7 linked regions of the Nothobranchius furzeri genome follow. The protein of the gene in region 5 purifies or fractionates together with the protein of the main gene of each other region. This does not show direct contact. Links are inferred from orthologs where the notes say so. Each region holds a gene or a part of one and is shown on either strand. Other genes may lie near its edges.

What was found.
Region 1: the proteins of ruvbl2 (region 5) and wdcp purify together in Homo sapiens (affinity purification with mass spectrometry; 6 studies listed by BioGRID and IntAct, counting the BioPlex papers as one, with this or other methods). This does not show direct contact. The link is inferred for Nothobranchius furzeri from reciprocal best matches to the Homo sapiens genes RUVBL2 and WDCP.
Region 2: the proteins of ruvbl2 (region 5) and rpap2 purify together in Homo sapiens (affinity purification with mass spectrometry; 3 studies listed by BioGRID and IntAct, with this or other methods). This does not show direct contact. The link is inferred for Nothobranchius furzeri from reciprocal best matches to the Homo sapiens genes RUVBL2 and RPAP2.
Region 3: the proteins of ruvbl2 (region 5) and nop58 purify together in Homo sapiens (affinity purification with mass spectrometry; 5 studies listed by BioGRID and IntAct, with this or other methods). This does not show direct contact. The link is inferred for Nothobranchius furzeri from reciprocal best matches to the Homo sapiens genes RUVBL2 and NOP58.
Region 4: the proteins of ruvbl2 (region 5) and eapp purify together in Homo sapiens (affinity purification with mass spectrometry; 3 studies listed by BioGRID and IntAct, with this or other methods). This does not show direct contact. The link is inferred for Nothobranchius furzeri from reciprocal best matches to the Homo sapiens genes RUVBL2 and EAPP.
Region 6: the proteins of ruvbl2 (region 5) and nopchap1 purify together in Homo sapiens (affinity purification with mass spectrometry; 4 studies listed by BioGRID and IntAct, with this or other methods). This does not show direct contact. The link is inferred for Nothobranchius furzeri from reciprocal best matches to the Homo sapiens genes RUVBL2 and NOPCHAP1.
Region 7: the proteins of ruvbl2 (region 5) and dkc1 purify together in Homo sapiens (affinity purification with mass spectrometry; 5 studies listed by BioGRID and IntAct, counting the BioPlex papers as one, with this or other methods). This does not show direct contact. The link is inferred for Nothobranchius furzeri from reciprocal best matches to the Homo sapiens genes RUVBL2 and DKC1.

Annotation. Positions count from the first base shown.
Region 1 is NC_091742.1:21,824,876-21,827,457, forward strand, and holds the end of wdcp (WD repeat and coiled-coil-containing protein), read left to right. Parts: intron 1-26; coding exon 27-147; intron 148-1,769; coding exon 1,770-1,960; 3' UTR 1,961-2,082; downstream 2,083-2,582.
Region 2 is NC_091751.1:71,625,301-71,628,800, forward strand, and holds part of rpap2 (putative RNA polymerase II subunit B1 CTD phosphatase rpap2), read left to right. Parts: intron 1-1,049; exon of another isoform or gene 1,050-1,121; coding exon of another isoform or gene 1,122-1,128; intron 1,129-1,226; coding exon 1,227-1,272; intron 1,273-1,348; coding exon 1,349-1,451; intron 1,452-1,753; coding exon 1,754-1,852; intron 1,853-1,937; coding exon 1,938-2,003; intron 2,004-2,067; coding exon 2,068-2,156; intron 2,157-2,231; coding exon 2,232-2,267; intron 2,268-3,500.
Region 3 is NC_091742.1:74,286,167-74,290,414, reverse strand, and holds the start of nop58 (nucleolar protein 58), read left to right. Parts: upstream 1-1,448; 5' UTR 1,449-1,573; coding exon 1,574-1,618; intron 1,619-2,196; coding exon 2,197-2,273; intron 2,274-2,349; coding exon 2,350-2,402; intron 2,403-2,614; coding exon 2,615-2,739; intron 2,740-2,812; coding exon 2,813-2,949; intron 2,950-3,128; coding exon 3,129-3,193; intron 3,194-3,839; coding exon 3,840-3,974; intron 3,975-4,126; coding exon 4,127-4,248. Other genes in the region: FMR1-interacting protein NUFIP1, read right to left, coding at 297-528. UniProt on the Homo sapiens protein: Required for the biogenesis of box C/D snoRNAs such as U3, U8 and U14 snoRNAs. Part of the small subunit (SSU) processome, first precursor of the small eukaryotic ribosomal subunit.
Region 4 is NC_091758.1:7,754,136-7,758,320, reverse strand, and holds the start of eapp (E2F-associated phosphoprotein), read left to right. Parts: upstream 1-1,385; 5' UTR 1,386-1,493; coding exon 1,494-1,573; intron 1,574-3,122; coding exon 3,123-3,301; intron 3,302-3,479; coding exon 3,480-3,593; intron 3,594-3,660; coding exon 3,661-3,769; intron 3,770-3,846; coding exon 3,847-3,975; intron 3,976-4,185. UniProt on the Homo sapiens protein: May play an important role in the fine-tuning of both major E2F1 activities, the regulation of the cell-cycle and the induction of apoptosis. Promotes S-phase entry, and inhibits p14(ARP) expression.
Region 5 is NC_091750.1:65,678,013-65,682,068, forward strand, and holds the start of ruvbl2 (ruvB-like 2), read left to right. Parts: upstream 1-1,256; 5' UTR 1,257-1,328; intron 1,329-2,038; coding exon 2,039-2,093; intron 2,094-2,213; coding exon 2,214-2,269; intron 2,270-2,598; coding exon 2,599-2,740; intron 2,741-2,845; coding exon 2,846-2,975; intron 2,976-3,060; coding exon 3,061-3,127; intron 3,128-3,260; coding exon 3,261-3,367; intron 3,368-3,457; coding exon 3,458-3,551; intron 3,552-3,629; coding exon 3,630-3,848; intron 3,849-3,938; coding exon 3,939-4,056. UniProt on the Homo sapiens protein: Possesses single-stranded DNA-stimulated ATPase and ATP-dependent DNA helicase (5' to 3') activity; hexamerization is thought to be critical for ATP hydrolysis and adjacent subunits in the ring-like structure contribute to the ATPase activity.
Region 6 is NC_091741.1:62,948,264-62,952,262, forward strand, and holds the start of nopchap1 (NOP protein chaperone 1), read right to left. Parts: upstream 2,801-3,999; 5' UTR 2,723-2,800; coding exon 2,644-2,722; intron 892-2,643; coding exon 817-891; intron 711-816; coding exon 577-710; intron 1-576. UniProt on the Homo sapiens protein: Client-loading PAQosome/R2TP complex cofactor that selects NOP58 to promote box C/D small nucleolar ribonucleoprotein (snoRNP) assembly. Acts as a bridge between NOP58 and the R2TP complex via RUVBL1:RUVBL2.
Region 7 is NC_091758.1:16,263,635-16,267,676, forward strand, and holds the start of dkc1 (H/ACA ribonucleoprotein complex subunit DKC1), read right to left. Parts: upstream 2,801-4,042; 5' UTR 2,722-2,800; coding exon 2,706-2,721; intron 1,789-2,705; coding exon 1,739-1,788; intron 1,660-1,738; coding exon 1,573-1,659; intron 12-1,572; exon of another isoform or gene 1-11. Other genes in the region: cinp (cyclin-dependent kinase 2-interacting protein), read left to right, coding at 3,431-3,458.

The sequences.
Region 1 (2,582 bases), on a different chromosome or scaffold from region 5:
TGACTCTTTTCATCTTTGACATGAAGAAGCAGCTATCAGAGAACGTGTTCATTGATGAGAGGAGGCCAGTGCTGCTGTGTGAGGGGAGGCTCTGTCTACGGGTCCTCCAGGACCTCTTCAACCTCCCCATCGTGGAGATGATGTATGGTACGTGCATCACTTCACTGCCAGGTTATCGGCGTTCCAGAGGGTACAGGGTTAATTAATGGAAACCTCTGAGGAAACTCCCTCCGGTCCCTTTAAGCAGGTCTTCCTCCTGCCTTAATTTTTAGAACACTTCCAAGATGGGCTTACCTTGCTTGGGTCAGTGTTAAATGTTCCGTTGTTCTCCAAATGTATTTTTGTTGCTTTAAGAAATATATCATGAACATCTTTTTAACTTTGTAACTAAACAACTTGCTCTGCCATTGTTCTTCCATTAATGTACAGTGTTGGGAGTAACGCGGTACAAAAGTAATTAATTACTGTAATGCATTGCTTTTTGCTGTAATGTGGTAATTTAAGGCATTACGGGGAAAGAAAATGGTAATATTTACTCGGTACAGTTGTCAGTAACGCGGTAATTACGACGCATTTTTAAACCCAGAATAAAGATGTGGGTTTCCTAAAAATTCAAATTGCGGGAAGCCTGACAAAAGATCCAGTATCCACATATATGACGTCATTTATGGACTCAGGTTTGCGGGCATTCTATGAGCAGAGAGGATAATAGCAGCGGTAATAACTCAAATACTCCAGCCGTGTCCTGCACGCGGCCACTGTTATATTCACAAAATCGCTCCACCAAAACAAAGTCATTTGTTTGCGACCGTTTAAATCAGCCCATATTCTCTGGTACTTCATGTACTTTTCAGCTGAGTTCATAATCTGTGCGCCGGTGATTTCAACTCATTGCTGCTGGTTTGGTAGATCCCTTTGGCTGATTAGTTAGAAAGTAGAAAATCTAGGAAATTGTTTTTCTGGAAGACGGACAAAACATGCAGGAAGGTCAGAGAGAGAAAGGGCCGGAAAGTATTCAAATAAAATCAAGAAAACAAAACAAAGTGCTTGAAAAGAAAAAAAGTAGGTAGATTTATCCCCAATACACATTTTTACCAGTGAAAAGCAATAATATATAAGCATTTAACATTTATACATGTGATAGAATCAGATCACCCCAGAAGTCAGTCCCACATCCAGGGCCGTATCAAGGCATTTGGGGACCAAGGTAAATATAGGCTTGGAGCCGAGCCACCCCCCCCACCCCCCTCACTCCCTGCTCAGTTAATATAAGATGGCAGCGTGCTGAGAGTACAGATTGTTGTTGCTTTTATTTAATAAACAACCATTTTAAAACACCGTTATTATATCTGACTGTTTTTAACAGCAGCCCTAGCTCACACACCACATCACCTTCCACATATATGTCATGAGCTCACTGAGCGTCAGATTACCAGATTCATATTGAAGTTGTTTTGGTGAAAGTAACTTAAAGTAATGCAAAAGTAGTGTAATGCCTTACATTTTGAAATCAGTAATATTGTAATGTAATGAATTACTTTGTAACTTGCCCAACACTGTGATTGTATCGATGCTATAATTAGAAGCGATTAGGAGCCTAGGTCTGTTTACAAGGTTTAAAACAAAAGCAGCTTACCATTCCTAAGCAGAGGTTTTGTTAGAGACGAGCCATTCCTGAGCTAATACACACCCTCGTTGTTGCTGTCACAGTCTTACGTTTTGGGTCAAATCAACAAAGAATAAACAACAGTTTTGTGTATTTTTTCCAGGACCGTTGTGGATTGTACTTGTGGCAGATGCAGATGGATTTGTGCCTCTGACATTCAAGCCCAAAGGGGAACTGACCGTTCGGAACGGGAAGAGGAAAACTACTCTTCGGACTCCTGGAAGTCCAGACGATTCTTGCCCATCCAGTCCCGCTCCCTGCCAAAGTCCAACAGCACCCACCGAGGCCTCATAGTGACTCCTGGTGCACTTTTCTGAAGGGTCCTAAAGAGAGTTGCTGCTTTTTTTTTTTTTTTTTTTTTGCTTTGAACTTAAAGAGACAATGTGTAGTTTTTATCGTTAATCTCTGAAAATATCCAACGAAATGTTGTTGAAAATGAATTAAATGATGCCCAGTTGCTGAAATATTTTGGCAGCTTCATAACGTATAAAAGAGGTGCTGAAAAAAATTGATTCAAGTCTGAATCGGGATTCGTATTTATAAAGATTCAGAATCGATTCACAAAGATTCAGAATCGGTTCCAAGAACTGAAATATTTGGCATGTTACGGGTTTGAGATGAACATTTTTGATCTTTGTTAGGAGAGTCAGTACTCCGTTTACTTTTGTGGTCCCATAAATTGAAATAATTTATGTTTGAATCTGCTGATAAGAGGGCACTTAAATATAATTTTTTCCATACTCAGAAATTTGAGATATTCTCATATTTATTATATTAATTATATTAATGATCTGATTTTACTCCCAAAATGTCGAATTTTGTAGTTATGCTTCATAGTTAATTTAAAAAAAAATACAAAATGAGTAAAATTTGTTCGTGCCAGGGAAAATTAAAAAAGGAGCTTAATGTTATTCTG
Region 2 (3,500 bases), on a different chromosome or scaffold from region 5:
TCTGTAGTTCATCACCTGGTCCTTCTGTAGTTCATCACCTGGTCCTTCTGTAGTTCATCACCAGGTCCAGGTCCTTCTGTAGTTCATCACCTGGTCCTTCTGTAGTTCATCACCTGGTCCTTCTGTAGTTCATCACCAGGTCCTTCTGTAGTTCATCACCTGGTCCTTCTGTAGTTCATCACCAGGTCCAGGTCCTTCTGTAGTTCATCACCAGGTCCTTCTGTAGTTCATCACCTGGTCCTTCTGTAGTTCATCACCAGGTCCAGGTCCTTCTGTAGTTCATCACCTGGTCCTTCTGTAGTTCATCACCTGGTCCTTCTGTAGTTCATCACCAGGTCCTTCTGTAGTTCATCACCTGGTCCTTCTGTAGTTCATCACCAGGTCCTTCTGTAGTTCATCACCAGGTCCAGGTCCTTCTGTAGTTCATCACCAGGTCCTTCTGTAGTTCATCACCAGGTCCTTCTGTAGTTCATCACCAGGTCCTTCTGTAGTTCATCACCAGGTCCTTCTGTAGTTCATCACCTGGTCCTTCTGTAGTTCATCACCTGGTCTTTCTGTAGTTCATCACCAGGTCCTTCTGTAGTTCATCACCTGGTCCTTCTGTAGTTCATCACCTGGTCTTTCTGTAGTTCATCACCTGGTCCTTCTGTAGTTCATCACCAGGTCCTTCTGTAGTTCATCACCAGGTCCTTCTGTAGTTCATCACCAGGTCCTTCTGTAGTTCATCACCAGGTCCTTCTGTAGTTCATCACCCGGTCCTTCTGTAGTTCATCACCTGGTCCTTCTGTAGTTCATCACCAGGTCCTTCTGTAGTTCATCACCAGCTCGCAGCAGAAGTGTCAGAGCAAAGCTTGGGAAGCCGCTCACTTCTCCAGGTTTCAGCACCTTAGAGGACCTCTCAGGAAACGGCTTGGTCCAGTTTGTGAAATAAATGATTAAAACGTTCATTCTGTGTTCACTGCTGTGGTCTCAGCCACCTCTCCTGATGAGGTTGTATCAATTAACCGGTTTCCTTTAATCCAAACCAAGATGTCTTTGCTTCCACAAAGACTTTATCTTCTGTCTGACCTCACGAGAACAAGAGCAGCACGCCTGTAGATCTGCCCTCGTTCATCGTGTAGATGATCGGTAATCATTCGTTCTACTGGCGACAACATTTTTGTGTTTGTTTTACTACTCCTGACCGTGTGTGTGTGTGTGTGTGTGTGTGTGTGTGTGTGTGACAGGTGGGAAACCCCATCCAGCTCTGACGGCTGAAGAAGAGGCTCGAAGGTCTAGAACGTGTTCTTCTTGGTGGACGTGTGCACGAAGCCTTCTGGTGTCTAACATGAGTCTGTGTCTCGGTCAGGAGGGAGGTGGTGCGGGAGAGGCTGGAGCTGGAGAGAAGAGCCGTGAAGGTGGTGGAGCGCCTCCTTGAGAGCAACGTGTCAGAGGACGTCCTGGTTGACTGTGTACATGTTTTTGTTGTTTATGCACATAAACAATGATGTTTTCCATCTTCCCCTCTCGCTGCCCCTCACCCGGGACTGGGGCCTGTAACTGGGCTCCCAGACGGGTCAGTTCCCGGTCCAGACTTGAGCCCATCCTGGGTTCTCCATCCGACAGGACATGTCTGATTGGCTGTGAAAGCAGATGATTTCTGCTGCTTGTATTCGGTCTTGGCTCTCCTCACAACATCACTGACCCCTGAAAGTAAAACGACGCCACTGAGGCTAAGATGACGTTACGGAAACGGTTTGTTGTGTTTTTACAGGCCAGGCTCATCACCGCAGCTAACTACAGAGATGCTGTGGAGGAGAGGTTCCTGGCTAAGCTGTGTGGTTATCCTCTTTGTTCAACAAAACTGGGCAAGGTCACTGAAGCATAAAAACTCCTAAGTCTCCATGTTTGCTTCCTTAAACTGTCTCACACACACACACACACACCTTGTTTTTCAGATCCCCACACAGCGGTACAAAATATCCACTCAGACAAACCGAGTTTATGACATCACAGAACGGAAGGTGGGTGCTTTCACGTGCAGCTCTAATGTTCCGTCTGCATGTTGACGTATTTTTGTATTTGTAGTGTTTTTGTAGCAACTTCTGCTACAAGGCGTCTAAAGAGTTTGAGCTTCAGATATCGACGACTCCTCTTTGGCTCCGGCATCATGAGAGGTGTGCTGCTGGTCTTCCTGTACAGCTTCAGTACACACCAGCAGATACTAACCGTGTGTCTTCTGTTCCTGACAGTCCTCCAGAAGTCACGCTGCTAAAGCCAGGAGACCGGTATGTCCTTTGGTTTTCTTTGTTACTCTGAACAAAAGCAAACGACGACACTTTTATGTTTGTCTCTTCAGAATCTTTAAAGGGACTTTACGGAGTTTTGAATTTTTATGCTCGCGATCGCCCCCTCAGGCCAAAAGCGTAACAGCAGCTTCAATAGTAGAGGCGTGCATGCTGTACGTGCACACTCCTTAACGAAAATAACAGCTGAGACAGTCCTGTGTGTGTGTGTGTGTGTGTGTGTGTGTGTGTGTGTGTGTGTGTGTGTGTGTGTGTGTGTGTGTGTGTGTGTGTGTGTGTGTGTGTGTGTGTGTGTGTGGCCCAGAGGACAGGAGAACGTGCAGCTAATTAATTAAATAATGTGGTTTTGTAGCTTTCTCTTCAGCACAGCCGACAAAGGTTTATGATGGGTCAGTCCTCCTGCATGCTCAGATCATTCCCTTCCCTTGCTTGAAAAATTGTTCCCAAATGAAAGTTGAACCCACATCTTTTTTATCTGTGAATTCAATGCCGTTCGGCGAGTCTCAAATAAAAATTTGGGCATCTTACTGTAAAAAAAATATACCATTAATGTAGTAAAAAATAATCTATGTTCACATCCGGAATCAAACCCGGGTCTTCTGCACGAGAGTTCAACATCTCACTAGGTGAGCTAGAGCACCAGTGACGTCCCTTGTATCTGTAACATTTATGTCCTTGATGACAGCTGAAACAACGTCAAACCAAAGAACGGTTCGGAGTGAAAATGGCTGTTTTGTTGCTAATTAGCAGGAAATATCTAGAAGAAAGTTCTACAGAAAGTAGCTAAGGGTCCTCAGAAATGTAGCTAGCTTTGTCACTAGGCGTTAGGAACAGCGACAAAGTGGCACTGCCTCTCTCTCTGCTGCTAAAGCTACGGATAGCAAATGCTACGGGCGATGCCTGAGCGTGAACGCGCATGAAGCAGCCTGCTCGACCCGAGCATCTCTCTTTTTCTGTGATTTTACAGAAAAACAGGCAATCACAGTAAAAATGCCAGGGCTCATTCTACAGGACCAGGGCATTGCAGGAGAACGTATGAAGAAGACATTTATTATTTCTATACATGTTTTGGCTGTCACACTTCCATAATGCACCTTTAACTAACATCTATTGGTGAGCGTCCTATTCACCACACTTTACTGGTCAGACCAACCCACGAGGAATCTGGTGTTCTGGCTGTGTCCTGCAGACTCCTCCTGAAGTGCTCCAGCATGT
Region 3 (4,248 bases), on a different chromosome or scaffold from region 5:
ATTTATTTATTCCGTTTTGATAATACCCATGTTGTAGGTTTTGTATTTCATTGAGCCTAACAGGCCACTGCAATGTAGAGTCTACTGTGGGTAATTCTGGTCTCATAATTAGTCATCATAAACTCAAATCCGTCTGCAGTCTCTTTTAGATGTGATCTCTAGTATTTCCCAACACACAATCATGTTAGATCATCTGGAGTTCACTATACAATAATTGTGGTTTTGATTGATTTCCATAATCAAGCATTCCAAACACAAACATTGAGAGAGGTGTCCTCTTTTAGAAACATAATCACCAAAGGTCTCACAGTGTGGATGGGTCTGACCGTGGTACCCTCCCGCCTGTCCGTGACTCCAGTTCGGACTGACCCAGTAGCTCCAGCTGGGCTCGGACGGCGTCTCTCCCCAGCTCCACATGCTGGGGTGGAAGCTGCTGGCCCGAGGTTGCTGCTGCTCCTGGGGCGTGTGGAACGAGCTTGGAGGGGGACAGCTGAAGTCTGGTGGAGGGTAGCGTTCTGGTTCGTTCATAGCTCCAGCTCCGGTGCCTTACTCAACGTTACCAGCCAGAAAACGGTAAAAGTTAGCTCAAGGTATTAGTCCACGCGCTCGTGTTTTGCCAGAGTTCACGCGTTCGTCACTTCCGTGAAAAAAGTGTGTTGCGTTTTGGATGATCGGAATTTCCTTTTCAATTTCTCAGAACTGGGATTTACAAGTTATCCGGATTACAACTGAAAATTAGATTTCCTACAAAAATATTTTAAAACAAATCTTCACACATCTGGAGTCGCCTATGTGCTTTAAAATTAGCTACATAAAATGTCATTCTTATATTACGGGAGTTTGTTCTCTTTTATTCTCTACTTGTTTGTAATTCTCCTTTTATTACATTTTGTTCTTTAAGTAACATCACGTATTGTTTAATTATATTATCTGTTTTATTGATCAGTCACTTTAATGATGGAATCATTAATAATAATATCGTTTAAAAGTGCGTAAACAGTTAGTTTGGCGTTAAGTTTTACTGTGAAAGCAACATACCGTGCTCATAACCTCTCGCGAGATTTGTTTGCGCGCATCTCTGGCGTTGCCAAATCAAATCCAGTTTGTGACATTTAATTAAAATGTATAAACTTTTTACTTTTTAACAAAATGAACATAACGATAATTTAAAAATAATAAGTAAAAAATACAATACGTGGTTTTACTATTTTGCTATGCGATCATAAAATAAAGGTGGTGGAATAAAAAGATGGAATTGAATTACATTTACTTTGTTAAAAGCTTTCAAGAACACACAAAACAACACAGTTGCATAAATTTATTATAGTTACTGTGTATGGCGTTTTAAAATACATTTATTGTTTTTAGAGTTAGCTAAAACACAAAGGAAATACTGACGTTTGGGTGATTTTGGTTCAAATTAACGGATCTGGCAACCCGGAAGTTTCCCCCTGCAGCAGCTCCTCTGCACCGCGTGCGGTTTCCGAGCCTCACCATCGCGGTGACTGACCGAGACGAAAACTGTCAGCTCTCTGAAAAGAGAGCACTTTAATAAAACAGAGCAGTTTCAAACATGCTCGTTCTATTTGAAACCGCCGCTGGATATGCGATATTCAAAGTGAGTGTTTCATTCTGTCAGTTTACCGATTGAAGTACGATATTTCGCTCGTATGTCTGTAGTTAGCCTCGATTAGCATCCTAATGTCACACATAAATTTGCCCTTAAGTAACAAGTTGGTGTTATTAGGGGAAATAAAACAACCGAGCTCTAAACGTGTCTGTGTGGGCTTGAATATGGCACCGTGTGCTTTCCTATCTCACGTGCACGTCTTCGTTTCTAAACTCAAATGCTAACATGAGTTAGCATGCTGTTAGGGGCCTGTGACCACGTGCGCTCCTGGAAGCTGGCTGAGTTTGATCTCAAACACAACAGAGAATGTAGTACACTCGCTCAATAAAAGGATAATTAATCCGGTCAGGTTATTGTAGAGTCGTTCCTTCTAAATGCACTTAAAGTGTGTTTGTGTGTTTGTGCTAGCAAAGTATCAAGAGCAATGTTGCCCATGTGGCTGTTTTTTTCGTTCAAGTCTATAAAAGACAGTTTGGCTCGGTGCAACACTTGCCATGCACAAGTTCCCTAGCTTCCAGCATACAGACGCTTTTATTGTCTGGTTGCTCAAGTTTATTTGTTTTTAGGTCCTAAATGAATCAAAGCTGCAGCAGGTGGACAGCCTGTACAAGGAGTTTGAGACTCCTGAAAAAGCCAACAAAATGTGAGTATGAACACGTCTCAGTACCCTCAGCTCAACACCTCACTCTGGGGGCTTACATCTGTTTTTCCTCCATCAGTGTGAAACTGAAACACTTTGAGAAGTTTCAGGACACGACGGAGGCACTGGCAGGTAAAAACACTCTGTTGTGTCTATGTTGGTGGTCTGTGATGGATTTCAGTGTCTGATAAAAGCATGAGGTTATCCACAGCAATCGTCACTACCACTGAGACCACCCTGTCCCTTCAGCCAGTAGATAAGAGAAGATGTCCAGGATAGGAGCAGGGATTATTAAAGTGTGCTTATCTAGGTTTAATCAGTTGTTTCTGACCTCTGCTGTGAAGCTGCCACCGCTCTGGTTGAGGGAAAAATCAGCAAAAGTTTGAAGAAGATCCTGAAGAAAGTCGTGGCCAAGGAGGCTCATGAGGAGCTAGCCATCAGCGATGCTAAACTGGGTGGAGTTATTAAAGTGAGTTTCATCCTTCTGCAGACGTCAGAAGATCTGTCTGTTAAAGATTTTCTGATCAAGTTTGTGTTCTTAGGACAAGCTGGACCTGAACTGCGTCTACAGCCCCGCAGTAGCCGAGCTGATGAGATGCATCAGGAGCCAGATGGAGAGTCTGATCTCTGGACTTCCTCCCAGAGAGATGAGCGCCATGTCTCTGGGCTTGGCTCACAGGTCAGGGTCACCCCGGGGTTATACTACAGCTGCTGCTGCTGCCTGTGATTACACATTGCTGTCTGAGATCCTCATGTAGATGTTCCCATCAGCATTCGTCACTACCACTGAGGCTGCCCCTGTGCTCCTGTTTATCGCCTGGTCTGTTGTTTATCAGCTAACACCCTCTCCTGTTGCAGTTTGTCCCGCTACAAGCTGAAGTTCAGCCCGGACAAAGTGGACACGATGATCGTTCAGGCCATTTGTGAGTGTTTCGCTGATGAAGCATCGTGTTGTTTTCATACAATATTAGTGATAATGACCCCTGAATGCAGCATTAGCTGGTTAGGGTTAGACATTAGCGGGCTAAATCTACAGAAACCTGTAGAAAGTAACTATTTTATTTCAGAAATTTCTTTTTTTTAGGATTTGATTGAATGTTCTCCCCTGTGAGGTGGATTAGTAATATTTCAGCCATTCTATAAAAAATCTGAATTTAAGAAATATCAAACTGTCAGTTCAGCCGAATGTTCATTTATTTTAAATAGAAAGATTTAAGTTAGTCAGATGATTAATATATAAATATTTATGAAGAAATTTAGTCTTTTGTCAGGATTTAACATAATGTCAGAGCACCCTTGATAATAATGGTTATTGATCTTATAAATATTATAAGAGGAAACTAAACTGACGTGATAAAAGCTTAAATCAGAAGTTCCTGGATACTTGGTTAGGCTGAACCTCACCTCCAGTGACCCCACAGAAGAAGCTAGTAGCAGCATCGCCGGGCCGTGTGGGTTCAGACATCTTGAAAAATTGAGGAAAGCCCAGTTTGTGTCCCTGGTGTCCTTTTCTGTGATCCTGGCTGTCTTTGTCCACAATAACCGGAGCTTGGGTGTTTTTGTCCTCAGCCCTCCTGGACGACCTGGACAAGGAGCTTAATAACTACATCATGCGCTGCAGAGAGTGGTACGGCTGGCACTTCCCCGAGCTGGGGAAGGTCGTCACGGACAACCTAGCTTACTGCAAAACCGTCCTCAAAGTCGGTAAGGTTCGTTGTTTAAGTAACACCTGGGCTGATGTGAAAAAGAGACGACAGCTTTTGTTTTAATTATCAAAACCCATAAAGGAAGGGCAATTATTTACCTTTTTACTATGAAGTGTCTTACTGATTGGACGGTCGTCTTGTCCGCCCCAGGTGATCGTACAAACGTGTCCAGCACCGATCTGTCAGAAATCCTCCCTGAGGAGATCGAGGCTGAGGTGAAGCTAGCTGCTGAGATCTCCATGGGAACAGAAGTATCCGAACAGGACATCGAC
Region 4 (4,185 bases), on a different chromosome or scaffold from region 5:
AATCTGAGATGTGAGAAGTAACTATCTTTTATACTTTTTATTTGTAACCTAAAACTTTTTTAACAATTAAAACATTACAGCTTGTTTAGGGGGATTAAGTTGGTACAGGATTTAGTTTTTACCGTAATGCCGTGAAATGTTAACATTGTTTTTGCTGGTGTGCTGCTGCATTAGGCTGTTGTTAACTAATATATACATGCACTCTCTACTTTTGGATTTTTCTTTTTAAAGACTTTTGAGACTTCTTCTTTTGTTTCATATATACATACATACATACATACATACATATATATATATATATATATATATATATATATATATATATGTATATATATATGTATATATATATATATATATATATATATATATATGTATATATATATATATATATATATATATATATATATATATATATATATGTATATATATATAAATATATATAAATATATATATATATATATATATACATATATATATATATATATATATATATATATATATATATGTATATATATGTATGTATGTATGTATGTATGTATGTACATTTATATATTTATATATATATATATATAAATATATATATATGTATATATATATATATATACATACATTTATATATTTATATATATATATATGTATATGTATAAATATGTACATACACACATATATACATATATATGTATGTATATATGTATTTATATATGTATATATATATATATATATAAACGAAAAACACTTTAAATCTTTTAATGTTTTTATGATCTTGGACACAGATACATTTATTACATATGTTTTCGGAAGGTTGCAGGTTCGAGTCCCGCTCAGTCTGTCGCTGTCATTGTGTTCTTGGGCAAGACACTTAACCCACGTTGCCTGCTGGTGGTGGTGGGAGGGACTGGTGGCGCCAGTGCTCGGCAGCCTCGCCTCTGTCAGTGCGCCTCAGGGCAGCTGTGGCTACATCGTAGCTCTTCCCCACCAGTGTGTGAATGTGTGTGTGAATGACTGATTGTGTTGTAAAGCGCCTTGAGGGGTTCCATGACTCTAGAAGGCGCTATATCAAATACAGGCCATTTACCATTGATAACATCACAAATATATTTCAACACAGATGTAATTTTTCATAAATATTCTATAATTTTACATGTGTATTATCACAAATATATTTCACAGCTTAGTGGTTCTTCATCACAATTATAATTAAATTTAAAGTGGTAATTGTGAAAAATTATTTACGTAATAATTAGTGTTATTATGCAGATTTCGCATACATTTCTATTTTTGTATTCGCACTGAGCAGGAATCGAACCCACGCAGTTCGACTCCCGGACAAAACAGTTTAAAAAAAAACTGCCTCAACCCTCCAGTCCACTAGAGGGCGCTAGGGTAGTTTGGAGTTGGTTTTCCACCAAGTGGAAAGGTGACATAGAACTAGTCGTTTTCTGTCACTACGTAGAAGTAATTATGTTCCCATAGTTAAACTTTCAGCCGTCAGAATGAACATGCTGAATAAATCACAGGACTTTGACTCATATGAAGTCGAAGAGCCAAGTGACGAGGAGCGGGCAGCGAGCAGGTAGGGATCAAATAAACTACGGTTTCTAACATTAGCATCGTGGCTAGCATCTCCGGTGTTCTACATGAACTAGACATCAGCTCAAATGGTGTGTGGTGGATGCATCGGACATAGGTGGCTCATCAAAGCCTGATCAAAACTATGCGAATGTAAACAAACTGTTCATAAACGTAATTGATGTTGGTATAAACGCGAGTAAAGCATGTTGCCTTCTATCTTATGTGACATCTGTTTGTGAGCAATCGTTCTAAAATAAAAAAGAGGGTCAAAATGATCACAACTGAAACAGCGTTGAGGCGCGTTAAGGTGAGGTTGGTGTTTTAAATTAACTGGTGATTCGTCCCTTTACTGGTTCAAACAGCCTGTTTATTATGATCCATGGAAATGAACATGGATTTAAGCTGCTTGGTTTGAACCCACACGGGCTTTTAGAAACTCGTTTTCTTGGGTTAATTTACGACAAAACTAGAACGAGAGTTTTGTACATCTTGTTAAAAAAATAATAGAGCAGACTTGTACACTGTGGTCCAGATGAAACTCAACACAACTTTTATACAGTATTATTAAAACACTGTCGACGAGAAGAGATGCTAGTACATACTCAGTCCGCTAACAGATTCACTCTCTCAGAAGAACTCAAGACCTTATCCCACTGAATCCAAGACCCCAAGGCCACAATGCCCCGAGCATTATCTGGTTGTTCTGCTCTGGTGTTTCTGTTTTATGTGACCTGGACTCATAGAGTTACTTGGCTGAAATATTTTCCCGTTGCATGTGATGTCATACTACTCACTGGAACACCTCTTTCTTCGTGGTGGAAGTGAAGGGAACAGTTTGTCCAAAAGAAGCTAGTTTGTAGCCTTATATTGTGCTTAGTTTGTTGGTATTGCTGTAAGGTGGTTATCGCTACTAACAGACGAGCTTATAAACTCAACTTGTTTTTATTTTAAATAACTTTGATGGGAACGGAAGATGGAGACGGACAGCAGCTGTCAATCACTTGTGTAGTAATAGTTAAAATAAGGGATGCAGCACCAGTGCTGCTCATTTGTTTTGTCGGGTAGATTTTCAGTCATCTCTAGGGATGTAAGACAATATCGATATGGCAATATATTGTGATATTTTTTCCAGCAATATTACATCGATATTCAAAAGCCGTGTATCTAATTCTTGAAAGAATTTACATGCAAACATTTGTGTATTTTCTTTTCGTTTTGTGCAATTTAATCGCCGCCCGCTAGTTTGCAGCAGTGTGCAACAGGTTTTGTTTCCACCATTGAAATGTAAATCCCTCCATCATGGTTCAGATACCTCATGTTAAACATGTTACGTATCAGTTTGGACTGTTAAACATTCTTACAATAAATTCAGTAAAAAAAATTGCTTGTAACGTCTGACTGAATGTATCGCAATATATCTTGATATATCGTATCGTCTCCCCTGTATCGTGATATGTATCGTATCGCCAGAATTTCAAAAGTACACATCCCTGGTCATCTCAGACCAAACATTTGAGGTTTTTTATTTTCTTCTTGTGGTTGTGTTTCAGTTCAGAGGATGAGCTGGATGTGCTTCTGAACGGGACAGCAGAGCAGAAGAAGAAGCTGATCAGAGAGTATCTGACGGGGGAGAGCGAGTCGTCCAGTGAGGATGACTTTGAAAAGGAAATGGAGACGGAGCTCAGCTCCACCATCAGGAACATGGAGGGAACCTGGGCACCAGCAGCTAGTAGGACACCAACAAATGTTATTATAACTAGTTTAGTTGGACCAAGGAAATTGTGTCCTGTTTTGGACGTGGCAACTAATGATTGTGTGTGATTAAATAATCATTGTGGCCCTCCGCGACTGCTATGAAATCATTCCTGAGAGTTTAAGTGGTGGTGATGAAGTTTCTCTTTGTTCAGACAGCGGTGGTGAAGGAGCAGGTGCCGGTGGCGTAGGAGGTTCCAGTGTTCCCAATCCACCGATGTATGACGAAGTTTACTTTGATTCTGACTCAGAGGACGAGGACACACCAAGTACGACGTCACTTTACACGACTTCATCTTCACTTTGATTTTGGTTAATTTCACCTGTTTGTTACAGGCAGCTCTACCAGCTGGAAGCGGAGACAGCGTGTAGTTCCTACCAATGATGAGCTGTTGTATGACCCAGACGAGGATGACAGGGACCAGGCTTGGGTAGACGCCAGACGGTAGTTCTGTAAAACACTGCCACTAGTACTTTTTTTGTCTTCTTGTAGGCCGTTTACCCATTTCTGTTCCTGTTCAGGTATAACAGCAGAAAACAACCAAATGCAGCCTCCCGGTCCAAATCCGGCCAACCTCGGTGTTTACCCAACAGTGATGCTGTTCTCAACTGTCCCGCCTGCATGACGACGCTCTGCCTGGACTGTCAGAGGTCAGGCACAACTATCCTGCTGTGTGTTCTTGTTGATTGTGTCAGCTAGCATGAACCAAAAACAAAGTTGTATGGCAATATCACAACGGGTTGCACTAATGTTCCCTAGGGTGCACGACACATCACAGATGGGTCCATATCATTTACAGTGTCACGCATGTATCAGAGCACAAAGGGAACAATGGAGTTTCATCATTTTAGCTGCGTGTT
Region 5 (4,056 bases):
GTGGAATCCCGAAAGCTGCACTTTTAGGGGGGAATTCTAATGACAGGAAGGAGATGAAAACCTGCTCCAGAAAGATTTGAGCACACTTTGCTTTACACCCTTTTTTTTTGCATTTCTAAAGGTATAAAAACACGAAATCTAACTTGTCAGAAGAAAACTTAAGGATGGAGTGCCAGCCAACTTATCTTATCAGATATTTTGATTGATATTCCTTTGCATTGATCACTGCAAGTTCACATGAACAAAAATTCCACAGCTTTAAATTATGAGCTTTGCTACCTCTGGTGGAGAAAAGCTTTTAGAGCTTTATTATGGCGTTTTCCATCAGACAATGTTGGCCTTCCTATGCCATGTGGATGTGTTTCTTTTTAATATAGAACAAAAATATATCTGATTAACCCTTCAAAACTTGAAATAAAAAACTTATTACATTTAAACTTACATAATAGTCACAAGATAATTTGAATGGTACGTGTGTATTTGAGAAATAACGTCCCTCACGTATTTGTTCCAAATGCCTTGGTTTAAAATGACTTATTTTCAAAATTATAGTATTTTAATGTGTTTTGTGCTTGATGCATTCTTATTCTCATTGCTTATTTGTTTAGATTATTTTAAGAGAAAGCTCAGTAGATTGCAATTGTTGTCATGTCATCAATTCACAACAGGACAATTCCATTTGAAAGTATATAAAAAAGAAAGTCACAAGAAAATGTCCCTTTATTTTTATTTTTTGCTTTCATTCTTGTTAAATGCACCAGCACACAAATGTCTTCTACCTGGATTACCTCTTTATAATTTTTTATAGTGTTTTAGATTTTAAAGGACCCCTCACTGGTAAGAAGACTTTTTACTCAAAGCAACTTGGAAATTTGTAACTAAAAATATTTTTGCTATTTCAAATGTGAATAGAATATGTTTTAATAGTTGTGCTCATCCTTTTTTAGCAATGGCTTATTATTTTGTATTTGAAATTTAAGAAAAAAGCGATTCTTTTGTTTCTACTGGTTTCCAATGAGAACATTTAAATGACGAAAACACGAAATGCACGGACCCAGTTCTACAAACATTCATTGAACGAGTTAACATTTATAAAATTTTGAATTAGCATTTTATGTACCTTTATAAGAATCGTGTAATGAAACGTATTTACCTCGTTAGTTTTGTCTTCTTGGTCAAAAACAATTCAGTAACAACCGATGGTAACAACGCTCCCCCATGTGCCCCTGTGAAAAAAAAACTACTTGTTTCTAGTCGGACGCATTTGCTCGGTGCACTTTCAGAAAGGAGCGCCTCGTTCTCACGTTTCGGTGAGTGTAGTGGTGCAGGTGAGTGAACACGCTTATTATAAAATAATATAAAATTCAAACATATTACAGTTTATGCTGCCCGATTGCTGTTGTCTGTGTAATTTGAAGAAAGTCTTATGATGTTGGAGTGTTTGACGTCCCCATTCTGCTTGTTTTGAATGTTAGCTTTAAATAAAGCGATGAATGAAGCTAGCTGTTTGCTAACACAACATTAGCCACGGAATGCTATTCTATTCCTGTTTTAACGCTGGCAATGTAGCCGCACATGTTTCGGTATGTTACATAACTAATGTGGTGGCAGTTAAAAGTTTTCTTGCTTTCACGTATGACATTAATATTTGGAAAGTGATCGAAACTTTGTATTACGCTAGCTAATGTATTGTAGCGCATGGGTTATAACTGTCACTATGACAACCAGCTGGACAGAACAGACCTCTCAGACGTTTTCTGATCTAGCAAACAACATAAATATCGTTTTATTGTGGTACATTATTTACTAAAAGGTGTGTCTCATTGCCAAATCAAGTTTTGGATCTGATCTTTACCGTTTTAGTATGATCAGGTTTACACATTAACTATTGTTTTTAATAATTTGACTTATTTTGAGTCATAATGTGAGATACAGACAAATAACTGGTCAGTAGAAGTTGCATTGCTTAATTATTCAGAAACGTAAAACAATCTACTTAATATTACAAGTTTTTCTTGTTGTGTTTCACCTGATGCAGATGGCGGCTACAAAGGTTCCAGAGGTTCGTGATATCACACGGATTGAAAGAATTGGTAGGTGTGGACGTCTTGAACCGTTAACTAATCAAAAAGCTAATTTATCATAAGGGTGTATGATGCTGCTAGTTGTGTGTGCTCTTTATTTTTCCTTCAAATCCACCTTTTTGCGTTCAGGGGCCCATTCTCACATTCGGGGCCTTGGCCTGGATGATGCTTTGGAGCCAAGACAGGTACTCTTGTCTCTGATTCATTTGCTGTGGACTTCCTGTTCATGCTCTCTAAAGAAACTCTGTTAAGTCTTTTAAAAGAAAAAAGCTGTTTGTAAAATGTGTTGTTTGGTTACTACTAATGCATATACTTTGCTAGAACTGGTTAAACTGAAAATACAGTAGATAGCCTGTGTAACCTCAACATCACATCACTTCAGACATTTTCTCTTATATTATCTACCAACACTTTAGAATATTGAGCAGTGTTGTTCTTTTAGGTTTAGTTAATTTTCCAGCATTAATGTGTGTGAGGTTTTGTCTGAAGGAGACTTGATCCTCTTCACCTGCAGGTTTCTCAGGGGATGGTTGGACAGCTGGCTTCCCGTCGGGCAGCAGGGGTCATCTTGGAGATGATCAAAGACGGCCACATTGCTGGCAGGGCGGTCCTGATCGCTGGCCAACCTGGCACGGGAAAGACTGCCATTGCAATGGGTGAGAGCCGAGTTGGAAGCTGTCCATGGATGTAAATGTTTCAAGTTGCATTTTGTTTTGAATCAAGAGTTCCTGCATCCTGTTCCTGATGAGCTTGTCTTATAGGCATCGCACAGTCTCTCGGCTCAGACACGCCCTTCACAGCTCTGGCTGGTAGCGAGATCTTCTCCCTGGAAATGAGCAAGACCGAGGCACTGAGCCAAGCTTTTAGAAAAGCCATTGGAGTGAGGATCAAGTGAGACAGCGGTCACAGATACAGCATTATTTAATTATTTTTGTATGAAATGATTTGCCTTTGACTGTTTTTTCCGTATTTACAGAGAGGAGACGGAGATTATTGAAGGAGAGGTTGTGGAAATCCAGATTGATAGACCGGCCACCGGAACGGTGGGATACTTTCTCTAATGTTAGCTAGTAGTCTCAGAATTTATTGTCTCCCACTTTCTGTTAGCTTAAATACATTGATGTTATTCTCTTTGAAGAGTCCTGTTTAATAAAAATTATATTTTCTTTCCGTCAGGGTGCAAAAGTAGGCAAGCTGACTCTAAAGACGACAGAGATGGAGACTATCTATGACCTGGGCAACAAGATGATTGACAGTCTCAGTAAGGAGAAGGTTCAAGCTGGGTAGGTTCTGTTCGCACAACAAGACTCTCTAGTCTCGTTTTTCTCTGCTGGAGCGACGTTAGAACAAATCTATTTACTCTGTTTTTACAGAGATGTTATTACAATTGATAAAGCCACTGGGAAAATCAGCAAGTTGGGTCGCTCCTTCACCAGAGCCCGAGACTACGACGCCATGGGCGCTCAGGTGTGATGCCACTGTATTCAGATTGAGGATGCAGGTTGACTGATTGCTGGATTATTTTCTTTGTTTTGTCTTTTGTAGACCCAGTTTGTCCAATGTCCGGAGGGAGAGCTGCAGAAGAGAAAGGAGGTGGTACATACGGTGTCCCTCCATGAGATCGATGTCATCAACAGCCGCACCCAGGGCTTCCTGGCTCTCTTCTCCGGAGACACCGGAGAGATCAAGTCCGAGGTCCGGGAGCAGATAAATGCCAAAGTGTGCGAGTGGAGGGAAGAAGGCAAGGCAGAGATTATTCCCGGAGTAAGTTTTAGTGTGTGCAGATTTTTGAAGTTTGGGGTTTCTACCTGCTTAAACTACATAACAAATCATTTTGTTTGTTGTTTTTTCCAGGTGTTGTTTATCGATGAGGTCCATATGCTGGACATGGAGTGCTTTTCCTTCCTGAACCGGGCCTTGGAGAGTGACCTTTCTCCTGTTCTCATCATGGCAACCAACAGAGGCATCACCC
Region 6 (3,999 bases), on a different chromosome or scaffold from region 5:
AGCTGAGAGCTGTTGGTGTCCTGTGGGACATTGTTTCTGGACCACCCTTTAACACCAGGAACCAGAAAATAAACATAATTCTGACATGCCCTAGACAGTCCCAGTTCAACTTTTTAGGATGATCTGCGATGCACATGATGGCACACGCATCACCGAAGCTTCTGACACTTTCCATAGTTCTAATTCTATATGTATTAGCTCATCGCACACTAAATAACCACCATGAAATGGAAAATCTGCTGTTGGATGGTAGGAACGATTATTATTGCTGGTAAATTGATGTTTAAACTCAGAAGTCTCCAACAGAAACCTGACTTATGCATCGTAGATTCAGCCAACGATAGCAAAGGGAAGAAAGCTTAAATCCACTGAAGAACAGGGCACTATCACCCAGAATGTCCGAAGCTGGTTACGAGACAAGTTCAGACAGAAGTAACGGGCTTGCTGAAGCTGTGTACAACCAGCTTTATCTTCCCAGCCATTGTTTAAAAAAAGATTCTGCTTTTGTGCAAAATGTATTCTTCTGTTGGAGGCTAGAAAGGTCACACTTTAAATGAGTGGCAAAATGGTACTCACCATCTCTATGACCTTCTCTGCCTTGTCCACATTCTCAATATCAAAGTGACCCGGAGGAGCCTTTTCCATCTGTTGTGTCAACTTCATGTTGGCTTCAGCCATCTGAGGCAGGAAGTTCTGTAGCCGCTCCAACACTGACGCACAAACAAAACCAGACAGACATGTCATGGTTCCTATCAAACTGTTGACCTTGCTTGGTGTTCCTACAAACAAATGTTGGGATTGTATAAAAGGACTCACTGCTACTTCTTGGGACTCGCTCTGTCTTCAGGGACTTGCCAGCCTTTCGTTTGAGCAGCAGTTTCTCACTGAGAGCTAGTTGCAGATAAACAAATCATCTTCAGTTAAGAAAATTAAGACAAGACCGGTCTTAGGCCTAGTCCACACATAGCCGGGTTTTTTTTTTAAACGAATATCCGCCCCTCCAAAAACTTGCATCCACACCACCTCGTTTTAAAAAAAAAACTGTCCACACGTACCCGGATAAATACGTTGTTAAGGATATGCCAGACCTGTAGGCGGCATTACTTCCCCGTTCTTAACCTCGTCCTTCGTCTGTGGTCTTCCGCAAGGAGCAGTAATTCCGCTTGCAAAAACAAACAAGCTAAAAGCGCTTGGACAATTGATAAAGCGAGCGCAGCTCTGAGGGCATCCATGCTGTCGGCTAGTGTAAACACAGGTCGCACACGTGATGTCAGCATTTTTCTGTCGCGGAAAGTGACGTTGCGGACCATAAAACTCCGGTTTTGTCTGTCCACACGCAGACACCCAAAACGGAGAAAACGCATATCTTCACTTTGGCCGGAGTTTTTTAAAAGATCCGTTTTCGTGTGAAAAAACTCCGTTTTCGTGTGGATGACAGGCCAAAACGTAGAAAAATATCTACGTTTTGGCAGATCCCCGGCTAGACAGGGCCTTAGACCCACAAAACTGAAATTGTCAAGTCATGTGGCCCCAGTTTTCTGTAATTTGACAATAAACTACTACAAATGAGAAAAGAATAGATACAAGAATTCAGGGCATAAAAAAAACACTTCAGCTAATACTTATAAATTCATGACAATTTTGTTGTTAGAACTATAGCTTTGATAGTTGTTTTTCTACTTTATTTCACTTTTTAAAAGTCATTACAAGTCCCCCTCAACCGCTCTAGAGTCACCATCAGGCATGTTTTAGTTGTTTACCTGTTCAAAAACACTTGATAAAATGGTTTAATCACCTGCTCAGAGGATAATTAAACTCTGCAGGAGTCTGTTGATCACTCACTTATTAAAACCAGGTGTGCTGAATCAAATACACATCTAGAATTGACTTCAAAGTGCTTTTACTAGTCTATAAATCTCTCAATGGTATAGGACCAAAGTACATGTCGGATCTCCTTCCAGTATATACGCCCAGCAAGGCTCTCAGAAGCTTGGGAAACATTCAGCTGGTAGTACCTCGGGTCAAAACCAAACAGGGCTAAGCTGCTTTTGGTCATTTTAGCTGCACACAGATTGAATCAACTTCCTCATAACTTCAAATGTGCCCCAACTCTAGTAACTTTTAATTAAAAATTAAAAACATTCATGTAGTCATCAGCCTTTGGATAAATGTTTCTTATGCTGCACTTTCTGCACTGTAACTGCTACCCTTTTGACCATGCCTTTTATCTGTTTGTTTAATCTGAAATTACTTACTACATTTCTTTGTTTGATTTACTGTGTTTGCTGTTCTTGCTTTTGTAAAGCACTTTGAATTGCATGCGTTTGAAATGTGCTATATAAATAAAGCTGCCTTGCCTAAATCATGCAGGATGGTGGCCCTTGGGAACCAGGACTGGACACCATTGTGAGAAGATAACTTCGGTGTCCAAAGAAAAACTCTAAATCCTTAAAAACACTGGCTAGTAAAATAGCGTGACAAGATGTCATTGTTTTACTTAACAGAGTTGAAGCTAAAACATTTCCTCAAAGGCAATAGTGTATAAAACCAGGGTTGGTGAACACACACCACCGTTTGTCAATTATACAGCACATATTTAATAAACAACTCTCCACACTTTCAGACAAGAAAAAACATTCAAACCTCCTTCGTTGCCACATGATAGCAGCGACCGTGAGGTCGTTTTCTTCGCGTTTTGGTCCATTTTAGGTAAGCCGCGCATTTATTTTGCTGTACATGTGTTAGAAAGACGAGACCAACATCCGGGTCACAGTTCAAGACAGCTACACGTGTGTGTGATCATTTCCACAGCGCCACCTAGTGTTGGAGAAACTTCTCACCACTTCAACTAGCTCCATCTGGCTGCAAGCGACCCAAAACACTTACTAATTCACAGTTGTTTAAAATATCAGTTTATCTTTCTGCCAGGTTTAAAACATTCACATCTGTGTCAATAAGCGTTTGTTTTTACTTTAGACCTCATTTGCGCCTGCGCACGCCCATCAAAATATCTGTGTTGGCAGTGCACGCTAGAAGTGCAGATGATAGTAAGAGGTCTCACTCTTACATTATTTGGTCTGCATGAAGTAAAAGGCGCTTGTCTCCTTATATATATATATATATATATATATATATATATATATATATATATATATATATATATATATATATATATATATATATATATATATATTTGAAGGTATTTTATTGACTTCATCAAAAATATATATGTATACTTTATACATAATATAAATTGGTTAATTAAAAATAGTAAAAGGTAAAAGTTCTAAATAATCAGATACTTTGATTTAGGATTATATTTGATGATTTTAATGAAGAAAAACTAACGAACGTGTTGTTTTTAGTGCACGTGACAAAGTGTGTATTTTGTTCCATAAATATAAATTTCAAATCTTCACACAGTGGCAGAGAACATTTAAACGCAACAATTATGGGCACAATATTTATGTAAAGCGAAGCTGCTCATCTCTTCTTTTTCTACCCATCTTTGGTGGCACTATTTGCTCTGACGCCGCTCTCGCTGCCTGTCTGTCAGAGGTTACTCGTATCTCTTCTTGTTGAAAATTCTCCTCCGCTATTAGGTAAGTCGTTATTGAGACAAAAGAAAATAAATTGACTCCTGGAATAAGCATTTAAAAAGTATTTACATTTAAAGTGCGGACGGTCGGTGTTTCTTCTGGCTCACGCGCAAACGCATCGCGAGGAAGCCTACCTGCTTCTGTTTTGATTCCTGTACAGCTAGCTAGCAGCACCACCGAGTTAGAAAGCTACCATTATACACATCTATATAACATTTTGGTGTGGTTATTGATCAGTAAGAGCTTACTTGTGTTTTTAGAAGACCTTAAGCGGAATAATCACCATAAACTGGAGCTAAAATGTGATGTACAGGCCTGGGTGGTGGAGGAAAATCCTTAAAAGTTCTCAAAACATACCTTTATCTGTCACAGCGGCCACTTTCTTTTCCTGTCTAGTTGC
Region 7 (4,042 bases), on a different chromosome or scaffold from region 5:
GTATTTCCTCTTGTTCCGCCATCTCTCACAGCAAGATGAGCGTCAGTAACGTGATACGTCATGAAAACCGAGGGCACTCATTGGCTCATTTCTTCTTCTACGGCTCCACTGGTAGATCAGTGGCTCATTACTGCCACACACTGGCGGCAAATTTAACAGCTTGTAACCGATGTCAGATTGTGGTAAAAAATAGACTTTATGCGGTAAAATATGATTATTAAACAACTAATCGATGACTAAAAAGGTTGTTAACTATTTTAATAATCGATTATAATCGATTAGTTGTTTCAGCTCTAGACAAGACAGAGCTGAAAACGGCTTGTGCATGCGTCGGTCACTGCCTCCGCTCAGGTTTTTTTTTTAATGTATTTATTTTAACTCTCTCACTCACACACACACACCTCAGTCAACATAGTTTTGTTTAACCGTGTGTGGGAAAAATGCCAACAATGTGAGGAAAAAATCAGTTTAATCAAATTAAAATAAATTCTAGTATTTCATATTTCCTAGTTCCTACTGCATGAGTTCAGATGCATTTATTCATGCACTTAAACATTAATGTTCTGATTTTACTGAAAAACTTGTTCTGTAATGGTTTCTTTACTATTGTGATCAAAAATATTTAATCTCAGTTCTGAGGCTGCTCTGTAAATAGTTTTCAGATAAACAATACACATATCAACTTCTGATCAATCCAATTTCAGATTTAAAATAATGCATTGATGTAAACCACACCCACTAATTTACAAATAATAAATAAGAGGTGCATTCATCTGTGTATCTCCTTTGATCCGCATTAGTGATATTTTCAGCACCAGAACAATGAAGCAAAGAAACAGATTCCTGAGTTTGTTAGTAATTTTATTTATTAGGTGCATCTAACCTGTTCTATTTTTCTCTGAAATGAGATCAAATCAGTGCTTCTATGGGTTGTCTCCTCTCTGCACTAGAAAAATTTACTTTATTATAATGTTCACTGTAATGCATCTTGATGTTCTTAACACAAATTAAATCAAAGATATGGGTCAATAATGCCAAATATGTAAATTTTTGTTTCAGTCATTTTTATACTGGCTTAAAAATACTTCATTAAGTCTACTAAGCAGGGGTGTAGAAGGGTTTTTAATATTAACATAAAGGTGAGACTTGTCAATCATTCTCCCCCCAGCACCACCACCGGAAAAATTCCCAGGGGAAACGCTTGTCTGACAGCTAGAGCCGATTCCAACAGGGTTCTAGTCGAGTCAACTCATTACACCAGATGAAACCACAAACATGTCACTAAACAGAGCAGATAACAAATGCTTTATAGCACAGAGTCAATGTGATCAGAATAGGAGGTCGTCTTGGCTGTGGTCAAGTGGGGTCATTCCCCAGACGGCTACTGGTCGTGGTCAGGCAGAACGCCGAGACCCCTCTAGCAGCCGCAGGAGAAGCTCTGATCCAGAACGGAGCAGAAGCAAAGACCACAACAGGCCCACAGCACTCAGAGAATGGATAAACCAGTTCATCATATCACATGACCAGGGTCAAACATGTCAGCAGGCACAAACAGGAGGAGGGGTTCCTGACCTTTAATAACAAGGGCCACTGGGAGGAGTCCAAAGTGGGGACTTTGGTGTCTGGCTGGATTAAAAACTCTTGACTCTCTTGGATCTCCTGTTGAATAAAAACATCAGTTTGTTCAACAGGAAGAGAATCTCCAAATAGATCTTAAGTTGAATAAATTCACACCAACCCCAACATCTTCAGCCACTCTCTTCGACTTCTTCTTCTTCTTTGTGGATGCTGCAAAATAAAAACCAAACTAAAGTAGCATAAATCCTTCCTAAAATCAGAATTCCAGGATTTTCTCAGAGAACAACAATCTACCGGGCCCTAAGTGGTGTTTTGTCACTAGCCAGACTGCTCAAGTGTTCACCAATATTCTAGACGAGTCTTCATGCCCACCGGGAACTGAACATTGCATTATAACAGGTTACTGGTCCCAGGTAACCTCAGGTTAAAGGTCACTAACTCCAGGGACCATACTACACCTGCTTTTTAAAAGAGTGTTCAACAGGTTTATCCAGGCGATTACCTTCATGTGTGCAGGAGCAGCAAACCTGCAGCACGTGCAGCATGGTGGCCCTGGAGATGGGCCCTGCTCCAGTGCAACTCTGAGCCCAAAAGGGCCTTTCAGTGGAAAAAGTACGACCGAAAGAAAGTATTTTATCTGAAGGAACAGAAATTTAAATCCCTGTTGCAGTTTGGTAAATTTGGAAAACTGTAAATGAATGATATAGAGCCCACGTGGCCTGCAGCTGCAGCACGTGGTGGAGCGCACGTGGCTGCTAGCGGAGCTAACAGGCCACTGACCGAGAACCCGCTCTCTCAAAGTTAACTACACTAAACGCTGCTGGAGCTTATGAAGAAAACACGAGTCCACAGAGCAAACCCTTAGTTCTGTTATTGAATTAAACCCAACTACTAAAGCATGTTGGACACGTGGAGGGATTTGTTTGTTTTAACTGGCTCAGACGCTGCCAAACCTCCTCATAGACCAACTTAGGAATTTTTTTTACTGCGATTCCTTCTGCGTAAAACACGCTTGTACGTGCACGTGGACGTGTTGTTAATAAAATCCCTGACTCAGCAGAATTATGTTCAAACTTAGCAATAAATTAAACACAGACTGTCGCTTACAAAACGTGCTCGACACTCACCAGCTTCGTCCGCCATCTTCTAATGAAAGATTCTTCTTCTGCTTGATGTTTTATGGCGGCTGGCACGAAAGTACTTGGTGCACTACCGCCACCAACTGGTCACAGAGCAGAAATGAAACCAAATGAGGTAAATAAATAAATGAATTTGCTATTTAAATACAATTTTTACATAATTAAATATAAAATGGAAAAAAATAAATGTGAAAAATAATTCTGACTTTTCTTTCGGTGGTTCTAATGCTCTTCTTTAATTAACTAGCATCCTGGGGGGAAATAAACACTAAAAAAGGCCAGTGATATTTGGAGTCAGATAAGTCTGTCATTAAGTAGTGAGACACAGATCACTGGTGGGCCTCTAGTGCAATAGTGTGTTAAAAAACGGAAAAAACATGAGATGACTGCGGATTTTAGAAGAAACGGGAACATGCTAAATGCTTGTTCCATCCTGGGAGAGAAGGTGGAGGTGGCGGAGGAACATAAATACCTCAGTGTCCACCCGGACGGCAGACGGGACGGATCAGTGTTTACAGTTAACCCCAAAATCCCACTATCTCCGCGTAGTGGAATTTGAGTGTCCACAGCTGCAGATCCAATAAAAATACTTCCTTTTTTATTGTTTGATAAACGTGTGTCCACTCCAGGCCAGGTGGGGGCAGTAATGCTGCACTGCTACCACCCACAAACGTCGAAGAAGAAGAAGACTCAGCATAATTCAGCTGGATTTTATGCGAGAACTTCAGGATCAGATGGAAGGTGAGGATCTTCTTGATTAGTGAAGTAGTTTTTGTTCAGGTCTGAATAACCTGCAGCTTCCGGGTTAAAACATTCTGATGACGTGTGGATGTTTTACTGCAGGGTTGTAAATGAAACCCTGCAGAACCCAGCTGCCTCATCAACATTCACTAGGACAACTTATTTAGATCGTTCCTGTCCGCAGGTATTCTGTCCCATTACTCGTGGCCACACTGCTCCAGGTGTTCTTTCTCCAGATGTTTCTGCTCTTATCACAGATGTTCAACAGCATCTAGATCAGTTCAGAACAGTCCAGTGCTTGGTTCTGATCCATTCTCGGTGTTCCTAGCTGTGTTTTCTGATGATAGACTCTGGACAGTAGATTTGGCTCCAGAGGGTCTTGGTGGTCCTGGGATTGGACCCTGAACCTTTTCAGGAATCCTTGGTCCAGGTGCAGTGAGTCCAGAACAGAACTGATCTTCCTCCATCTTCTACAGTGTTTCTAGAGCCGATTTCCATCTCATCAATCAAAATGATGCTCTCCCTGAAGCTCGTCAGTGTGGTTTTTGGTGATCTCTAGTCTGTTCTTTTGGGTTTTTCTGTCA